Linked DNA regions of Coturnix japonica. The protein of the gene in region 1 interacts with the protein of each later gene in a pairwise test. Links are inferred from orthologs where the notes say so. Each region holds a gene or a part of one and is shown in the gene's direction. Other genes may lie near its edges.

What was found.
Region 2: the proteins of BAG4 (region 1) and UNKL interact in binary tests that used the Homo sapiens proteins (3 or more experiments, as listed by UniProt). The link is inferred for Coturnix japonica from reciprocal best matches to the Homo sapiens genes BAG4 and UNKL.

What each region holds. Positions count from the first base shown.
Region 1 is NC_029537.1:3,644,956-3,649,734, forward strand, and holds the start of BAG4 (BAG family molecular chaperone regulator 4), read left to right. Parts: upstream 1-1,887; coding exon 1,888-2,109; intron 2,110-2,186; coding exon 2,187-2,267; intron 2,268-2,478; coding exon 2,479-2,712; intron 2,713-3,029; coding exon 3,030-3,254; intron 3,255-3,566; coding exon 3,567-4,073; 3' UTR 4,074-4,779. Other genes in the region: U6 snRNA-associated Sm-like protein LSm1, read right to left, coding at 724-894, 965-1,080, 1,636-1,704, 1,844-1,889. UniProt on the Homo sapiens protein: Inhibits the chaperone activity of HSP70/HSC70 by promoting substrate release. Prevents constitutive TNFRSF1A signaling. Negative regulator of PRKN translocation to damaged mitochondria.
Region 2 is NC_029529.1:7,301,174-7,305,230, forward strand, and holds part of UNKL (putative E3 ubiquitin-protein ligase UNKL), read left to right. Parts: coding exon 1-42; intron 43-1,051; exon of another isoform or gene 1,052-1,118; intron 1,119-2,843; coding exon 2,844-3,020; intron 3,021-3,497; coding exon 3,498-3,631; intron 3,632-4,057. UniProt on the Homo sapiens protein: May participate in a protein complex showing an E3 ligase activity regulated by RAC1. Ubiquitination is directed towards itself and possibly other substrates, such as SMARCD2/BAF60b. Intrinsic E3 ligase activity has not been proven.

The sequences.
Region 1 (4,779 bases):
TCCCCTCCATGTGCAGGGACCTCAGGGTGCCCCCCAGCCTCCCCCACTGCCCCAAGGCTGCTTTGATGCTATTTGGAGAGCAGAGATAAACACACAGCCCCCCCCCCACACACACACACACACAACAGGGGGCAGGCAATAAGATAACACAGGCACTGCCCAGGCTGTAAGGCAGGAACTGACACCAATAGGAGCCCCATAATATCAGAGAACACATGGTAATGAAAGACCCCAAACTCTGCTTTTTCCTGCCTTACCTACAAGTGCTGAAGTCTGCAGCACCCAGTTCAGCTCAACCCACTCAGTTCCTACCTACCTGCCTCACACATGTGATGCTCCATCAACTCAGCAGGTAATTAACTAATTAGGGGGCAAACAGCTGCACCTGAGTGAACAGAGCTGAACTGGGCCCAGCACCTGAGGTCATGGAGAGTCCCATTGTGCCCATAACCACACAGAGCCCAAACACAAGCCAAGCTGTTGCTGTTGAGATCAGGGGTTTATTTACAGGTGAAGGGAAGCTCTCACTCAGCTCCAGGCGAGGAGCCAAAAGAAACAAACCAAAAAGGAACAGAGACCTTCATCTCTGAACAGAAATTGCTGCACCCCCCGGAGCATCCAGTTACCTCCGAGGGTTCCCCATTGCCATCACTCCTTTTTTCCCCTCAAGGGGGAACAGAAGCCATGATTTCAGTGCCTGCACCACTCAGCATTGCCATCCCATCAGTACTCATCCAACGTGTCAGCCCTGGGCACCGCCAGGCCTCTCTCCTTCAACGCCTGCACCTTCAGCTTCTCCGACTCCTGCTTGGCTTGCAGCTCCAACCTTTGCTCCTCCAGGATCTCCTCGATGGAAACCTGCTGCAGCAACGTGTCGCTCTCCTTCTCCAGGTCCTGCAAAGCAAAGAGCTGTTGTTAAGCAGAGCTGCAGGGTGAGGGGCTGCAGGGCACGGGGCTCACTCACAATCTCCCCCAGCAGCACCACGTTCTCCCCTCTCACAACGAAGATCCCTCGAGGGATGTCCCCATATTTCTTGCCCACGTGAATTCGCTCCACTGTCTGATGCAGCACCAGGTTGGCTGTGGGGATAGAGAAAAAAACACCCCGTTTTTAACCAGTTTTTTACCAAAACCACCCAGTTTTTCACCAAACAGAGCACCTCACCTGAAACAACCCATAGCCTAAAGCATAGGGAGCAGCTGGATTGCATTATAGCACTATAATCCTATATGCTGAGCATCCCCTAAACAACATGATCCCCCAAACCCAGCCACTATAGGACCCCAAAGCAGCCACTACCTATAGCTGATAAAGGGATCCCTGGTGCTATAGGGTAAAGAATGAGGGGCTCAGCTATAGGCACAAGTGAATGGGGAAGGGGGGAAAGGGGGGTAGGGAGAAGAGGGGTAAAGGGAGGTAAAGACTGGGGGGCTCAGCCATAGGCACAAGTCAATGGGGGGATGAACTTAGTGCTGCCCTAAGGGGGGAATATAACATGGGGTGGGGGTCCAACATGACAAGGGATGGGGGAACCACAAACTGGGTTCCTATCGGAGCCATATGGGTTCTATTAAGCCCTGATCCGGTGTCGTTCCCGGTGCTGCCCCCCCTATCCCCCCCCATTATATCCGTACCGAACTGATCGATGCTGCGTAGGAATCCGATCAGCGTCCGGCCGTCCCGCAGCAGAACCAGGTGTTTCTCTATGGGGAAAGGGATCAAGCGGGGGTACGGAACATCGGTCCCAATGGGAACCAAGGGGAAAACCGGGGTCCCCCGCGTCCGGGTCCCGGTTTTCCCCTTGGTTCCTTATTGAATGAATAGAACCTCGGTCACACTCACTGTCAATGTCCTGGATGAGGCTTGCAGTACCCGGCATGTAGTTCATGGTGGCGGAACCGCCCCACGTTGGGCGGTACTTAGCGATGCACTGTCCCTTTAAAAGCGGCGCCGGTAGTGCGAGCGGGGCTGCCTTTCATTGGTTACATCCAGGGGTCCTCGCATCCTATTGGTCGCATGGTGGGGGCCTTTTATCCTTGTGTCGCGCTGTGGGGTGGGCTACAGCGTGCCGGGTTGAAAACATGGAGCACCGCGGTCGTACCGGGCAGGTAAAGGGGGGGGGGGAACCGAGCACAGCCCGTTATCCCGTTATCACTGCTCCATATAATGGGGTTTTTCCTTATAGGAGCCACCAGGCCCCGGCTTCAACCCCGGTTATTGGAGCCCAGCGTTCGGTTTTGGGGCCTACACCGACGGAGCGGACTCGGTATGTTGGGTTTGGGGGATGAGGGTCCATTTCCATCCCCCTCCCGTCCATTAAGGCTTTGACCGAGCTGTGCTTCATTTCTATGCCATAGGATACAATGGGCTTCAAGCCCCACTTGTTTCCTACAGCTCAGTACAGAAATAACCCATTAAATATCCTAACACACATTTCAGCTCATTTTCTTTCTCTTTTTCCCTTTTCTCCTCCCCAGGCTATGGACTCACCCTACACCAACGGATCCTACAGCGCCCCATACCCTCCCCATTACACCTCACTGCCACAAACACGAACCTACAGCACTTCAGGTCCATCCTACAGCACCGACAGCTCAGCCCCATATCGACCCCCCCCTCCTGCCCCTCCCTGGGGCTGTGGCACACAGGACTGCCCAGCAGAGGGATGCTCAATGCGCAGGCAAAAGGCTGCTGGGTATTCCCCACCGCAGGTAAGAAACCATTTAGGGTGTGCACAGCAAAGCGAGAGCTCCTGTGCTGCTCACCCCATAGAGGGTGAACCCACAGTGCACCCTAATTGGGCCCAAATGGCTTCTATGTCCCACCCAGCTCGCCCTGCTTGCTCTTGTAAGAACTTGGAGTTGCCCCTTTCTGCTGGGAGCTCTGAGGTCACGAGCTTTGGAGCAGAAAGCAGCAGCAGTCCCAGTGCTGGGGCTCATCCCAGTGCTGGGGCTCATCCCAGAGCTTCCTTCTGCCACAGGCATTGGGAGCTGACTTAGGACTTACATCTGTCCCCCTCTCCCCACAGACCCCAGGGATGCCCGTTCCTCAGTATCCATATGGAGACCACAGCCCCGGGGCCAACCCACAGCCCAGGGCTCAGGAGGAGGCGTGGGCTCCCCCTCACTATGGGGTGCAGGCACGGTATGCATGGCCTGCAGCTCCAGCACATGGGAATCCATTCCTCTCTGAATCACAACCACCCTGGACTGGCAGCAGGACTGCAGCTCATCCTCCTGTGTGGGACTCGAAGGTACAGTGATGCTTTAATGGCTCTGACACAAAGATTCTGGCTGTAGCCAGAGCTCAGCTCATGCTGCCTTCCCCCGCAATACACACATGCAGCTGCTCAGTGCTCCTTTCTCCAAGCACAGTTTGCTTCCAGGAGACAAAAACAAAGCAGCGGTTCTAAGTACTGCCAGCAAAATCACCTGCTTATATATCCAAACTGCCATTGAAGAAAGCACTGGAGATAGCAGACCCTGAGAGGCGGGTCTTGAAGTGGAGCAGATCTCATTTAATGCCTCTGTAATGTAGACTCTTTTTTTTCCCCTTCTGATTGTAGGAATCTGCTTATGACAAACCTGATCCGAGTGCAAACCAACACTGCTACTATTCTGACAGCAATCACCAGCACCCTGGGACAATGAATGACCACAAACCACCCTCCCTGCTGCATAACTCCAAGTCATCTCCCTCCAACCCCAAGGTACAATACAGTGCACAGCCCCAGATGTACAACAGTGCAACTCGGAGGCAGCTGGCTGGGAACCAGGAGGCAGGTTGCAAAGCTGGCAATCACACTGCAATGAATTCTGCAGCCATCCAGCCAGAGATACAGAGGATCCTACAGGTCACAGAGCAGGCTGAAGAGTTAGAACAAGAGGTGGATGAATTTGTAGGGAAAAAGACAGATAAATCCTACAGGCTTCTGGAGGAGATGCTGACCAAGCTGCTGTTAGAACTGGATTCCATTGAGACTGGTGGGCAGGATGGTGTCCGACAGGCCAGGAAAGAAGCTGTCCATAGAATTCAGGCCATACTGGAAAAACTGGAAAGGAAAGGATTGTGAAAGCAAATCAGCCACAATGCAGCCTGTTGTGGAGGTTCCAAAGAGTTAATCCAAATCTCAGCTCTTTCTGCTAAGCACTACTGATAATGAGAAAGCAATAAGACTTGATTGAAAAGAAGAAACAACCCTAAACCCACAGGAAAGCCCAGCCCCGACCAACAGCTCAGCATTGGACCAATGAAGAGAAGATGAAAGCAGCAAATTGAGTTGTTTGCTCTGGGATGTGAAGAAGCAGCACCACCTGAAGGTGTTTAGCACTGGGTTGTCTGTGTCCTTCATCCAGCAAGAAGAAAATCACTGCACAAAGTTCCCCAAACCGGGTCCAAATCCACCCAAATCCATGGTACCTCGTGGAGCCACAGCTGCAGCACTTGTCACATGCATCACCATAAATGAAGGTCCATCAGTGCGTGTGCTTTCAGCTTCAGATCCCTTACCCACAAAAGCTGGTTTGTGTCATCCCGGGGTTCTCTTTTTGTTTCCAATGCGCTCCCTGTAGCTCTGCTGATGTGAAGCTGTTCTGTGATGCCGTGTGGATGTGGGAACATAGCCTGGAACTCTGAGTTTTTCACCTGGAAAAGCCAGTTGCAGGCAGAGCCGTGCAGCCCTGGACAGTGGGAGGTGCAGAAAATGCTTTTTCAGGTCGCGTGGGTCAAATCCACTTTTTAATTGTAACGCCTACTGGGTGAACCTGGTTACGACATGC
Region 2 (4,057 bases), on another chromosome or scaffold:
AAAATATGATGAGACTACAGGAATCTGCCCAGATGGAGATGAGTAAGTGATTTCTTTCAGTCCTGGGGTGCTTACAGTATTAATGGCTTTACAGAAAGATGGTATTTTTGCTTTTTCTGGGCAAAACTGATTGATGGGATCCTGCAGTTTAACTGAGGAAACTTTTTGTGAGTCATTTGTGAGCCTTTGGCATGTATGCTTTTATACAAACATGTGTTCTTTAGGCTGTCATGGACTTAGAGCTCTCTTATTGTTTTGTGACCGTTTTGAAAGCAGAATGTAAGCAGTTTATTTTCTCCTAGTGCTGTTCTTGTTGTCCCTGAACGTTTTTTGGCAGTTGTGATGCATTTTTCTCCTGACAGTTTTGAAATTGTATGCGCAAACTGCTCTGTGTAGGGGCTGACGGGCTGTAGAGGAGAAGGATTGTTTTATGATGGCTCTGTAGAGAGAAAAAAAGGATGTTTTTCACCCAGAAGGTGGTGATGCACTGGAACAGGTTGCTAAGGGAGGTTGTGGATCCCCCACAGGATCCCTGGATGCATTCAAGGCTGGATGTGGCTCTGAGCAGCCTGGTCTGGTGACTGGTGACCCTGCAAATAGTGGAGGGGGTTGAAACCAGATGAGCACCATGGTCCTTTTCAACTCAGGCCATTCTATGATACTGTGAAGGAGTTCTTATATCGGTTACCTGGGTAGACCATTAAGGTTTGCTTTTCCACGGACACATGTCTCTTCTAGGTAAGGCCCCAGATGACATGGGAAAGGGGTGAAGCTTTGTGATGATGAGAGTGAGCAAATATATAGTATGGCAAGAAGGCATGTATAGGGGAACTGGGTATATTGCGGTCATATAACACAGAGGAGCTGGCTTCATCTGCAGGGATGGAAGCAAGGAAAGACTTGCACAGGAAAAAAAAAAAACAAAATCAGAAAAACAGACAGGAAATATGTAGTTATGCTGCTCACCTGTTTTAAAATGTGAAGACAGTTATTTTGGTTCTTGCAGTGTTTAGCAGCTCTTATCACAGATCAGACATCTTTTTTGTTCCAGGCTGTAGTCACAGAAGGTGGATTTTCCTCCCAGGAATTACAAACTAAACAACAGGTGACAAGTGAAGGTAAACAACAAAGAAGTCATAGGCAGCACGGCGATATTTAGAACTACGCCCAAGCAAAATAAAAAGCAAAAAATATCTTTGGGGATGATATAAAAGAGAACAGTTATGTACCTTTTCAGGTGTTTGTAACGCACCTGTGAACGTGAGCAGTTCTTGCTTGAATATCAACAAGAGGATAAGGGATGTTCTTGTCATTTTGTTGACTGGGGACAAAAATTAAAATTAACTTTTCATTATTGAGTGATAGTGGTACTAAAGGAAGATAAAGAAAGCAGGCTTTTAAAAGAATATTAGTTGAGCAAGTTTGCACTGGTAGAAGCAAATAAGGGGATGCTTCAAGAGCTGAGAAGCGAGATGAAAGCTCATGCAATCTTTTGCTGTAGCTGTAGATGGCATAAATGGTGAGTCTTAGACCAAACAAAACATAAGGCTCTTGTGAAACAGCCTGTATTTCTTTATCAGCTTGTTCTTGGAATCTGTTTTGTCTTTATGTGGGAAAAATTGTGACCTGAGTATTTTTCCTTCTCACTGTGCATGAAAGGAGTTGTGTTTTGTCTGACAAGATATTTGAATTGAATTCCATAATTCTCTCTTTTCAAGCAGTAATTTGAATGTAATCAAAGGCTTTAACATTTTATGGGGCATCTGCTGATTGGTAATTTCTCTAGAGAAAAAGCCCAGACATCTAATCAAAAATGCTGCCATCCATTAAGGGGCCACTGACACAGAGCTGAGCAGTGAGGTGTAAATCTGAACACTTTGGGATGGGAGGCATTTAATTCTTGTTTTCCACAGGAACCAGCAAAATTAAACAGATGAAAATGGAGGAGTGAGCATTAAACCTAAGACTAAGAAAACATTCACACCTATGTAGTGTGCATATGTTATAATTGGTAATGAACACTCTGCCAGTATGTTTTCCCACATAACTCCCGCACAGATTGTGCTAGTGGTGGGAGAGCTAGCAGCAGTCAGCATTAGCTCAGATTGCAGCTTCATTTGTTTCGAGTTCAGTGCAAGTCTAGAGTCTGTCTGAGACTTCTGGCAGCCCTAACGGGTTCCTCATTTTTCTGTATTAGTAGATCAGTTCTAGCAGAACAGGAAGGCTGCACAGTGCTGCTCATACATTGCAAAGCGTTTCTTAAGAAGTTCATATGAGTCACCGAAATGTCTCCAACAAAAATTGCAACTGTCTTTTCACACAGAAGCAGGAAATATGAATGAACTGCATCCAGATCTTGGTTGTTGGTTGTGTTTTGTGTTACGCTGAGAGTGAGATGTAGCACTGAATTTGGTATACTTAGTCTTCTCACTAATTGTGTTGGGATTTAAAGAGGTAAAAGTAAACTCACTGGCTGCAACCCGTTTTTAATGGCAGCAGGACCAGCACAAGGAGATGTCGCAAAAAGAGCAATGCTTCCTATCTCCAAAGAGCCAGGCTCACAGAAAAACACTGCAGCAAGAGATCCTTCCTCAGGGGCAGTCAGCCCTTAAGTGAGGTCTAAAGTCTTCCAATTGCACACGTTGAATTGCAGCATGTGCTTCCAGGGCTGACTGGGTCTCTTCTTCCAGGTGCTCTGTCAGTGGTTCAGGCTGTGACTCAGCAGTTCCCATGCACCATTTATCTTGATTAGTTGTTTGTTATGAGTTAATGAGAGAGCATAATTCAGAATTGAATGTTTAAAAATAAAGCAATGCTTAAACTTTCCTCTTTCTACAATATAGTTGCCCTTACCTACATCGAACAACAGGAGATACAGAAAGGAAATACCATCTCAGATATTACAAGACTGGAACATGCATTCATGAAACAGATGCCCGGGGTCACTGCGTGAAGAATGGGATTCACTGTGCCTTTGCTCATGGGCCGCATGACCTCAGACCTCCAGTATATGACATAAGGTAGTCTGTTTCAATTTCTGCAGCCTGTTAAGCAGTAAATACTATGTTTGTTACTACTACATACCAGAAAACGTAGCGTGCTTTGCATGAAAAACATGATTTCATCTGTAACTACAGAATATAAGAATGCATTTTACTGTGCATTAAGATAGCAGATGTAAGCATGTCATATGTGGTGGTACAATACTAGTAATGAATAACATGTACAGAATGTCAGTGTATTAGCACACCGAGGTACAATGCTGGTATAAATATTGACTGTATATGTAATGCCAGCATTCCTTCACGTGTTCTCTTTGATTAGTCTGACATGGTTATTCCTTATGACTGTCCGCTTGCTTTTTTATTCCAATTTAGATTTGTTAGAAGCTATATTAAACGATAATTTTTTTATAAAATAGGCCAGGTTTTTAGTAGGACAGGTAGGGTTATTTTAGCTGTACAGTTTTGCAGTGTCATTTTCTTTCCCCATTCCAGAGAACTTCAGGCACAGGAAACTTTACAGAATGGGCAGCTAGGATGTGGTGAAGGCATTCCTGATCTGCAACCAGGGAATTTAGCAAGTCAAGCAATGATTGAGAAGATCCTTAGTGAAGATCCAAGATGGCAGGGTAACGTTACCCTGTCTCCTTTCTCTGTTTCTTCGATGTTGTTTGATCCAATTTGTTGATCCTGGGTCTAAACTTGGGAGATATTCAGAAGTCTTTTTTGTAATAGAGTAAAAAAAATGGTTTCTGTAAGTAATAAAGATATTTGTGAACAGTTTCGTACAGTCTATGATATTTATATTGAGAATGTAAATTGAAAATGTTTTGACAACGTTCTGTCTTTTTCTGTTTCTAGACAGAACCTTCTTTTTCCATGTCCTAATTCCTCCTTACTGGAACCAGTTGTAGATAAAAAAGGCAGAAGTCAAGAAGAGGTTTTAGAGTTTGTCCAGGAAGATTTTAGCAGCTAGTCTTAGTATGTCTTATCATGAAAACAGTTTTGCTGAAATAAGGACAGCACTGAACTTAAGAAAAGATGTAGATTTAAAA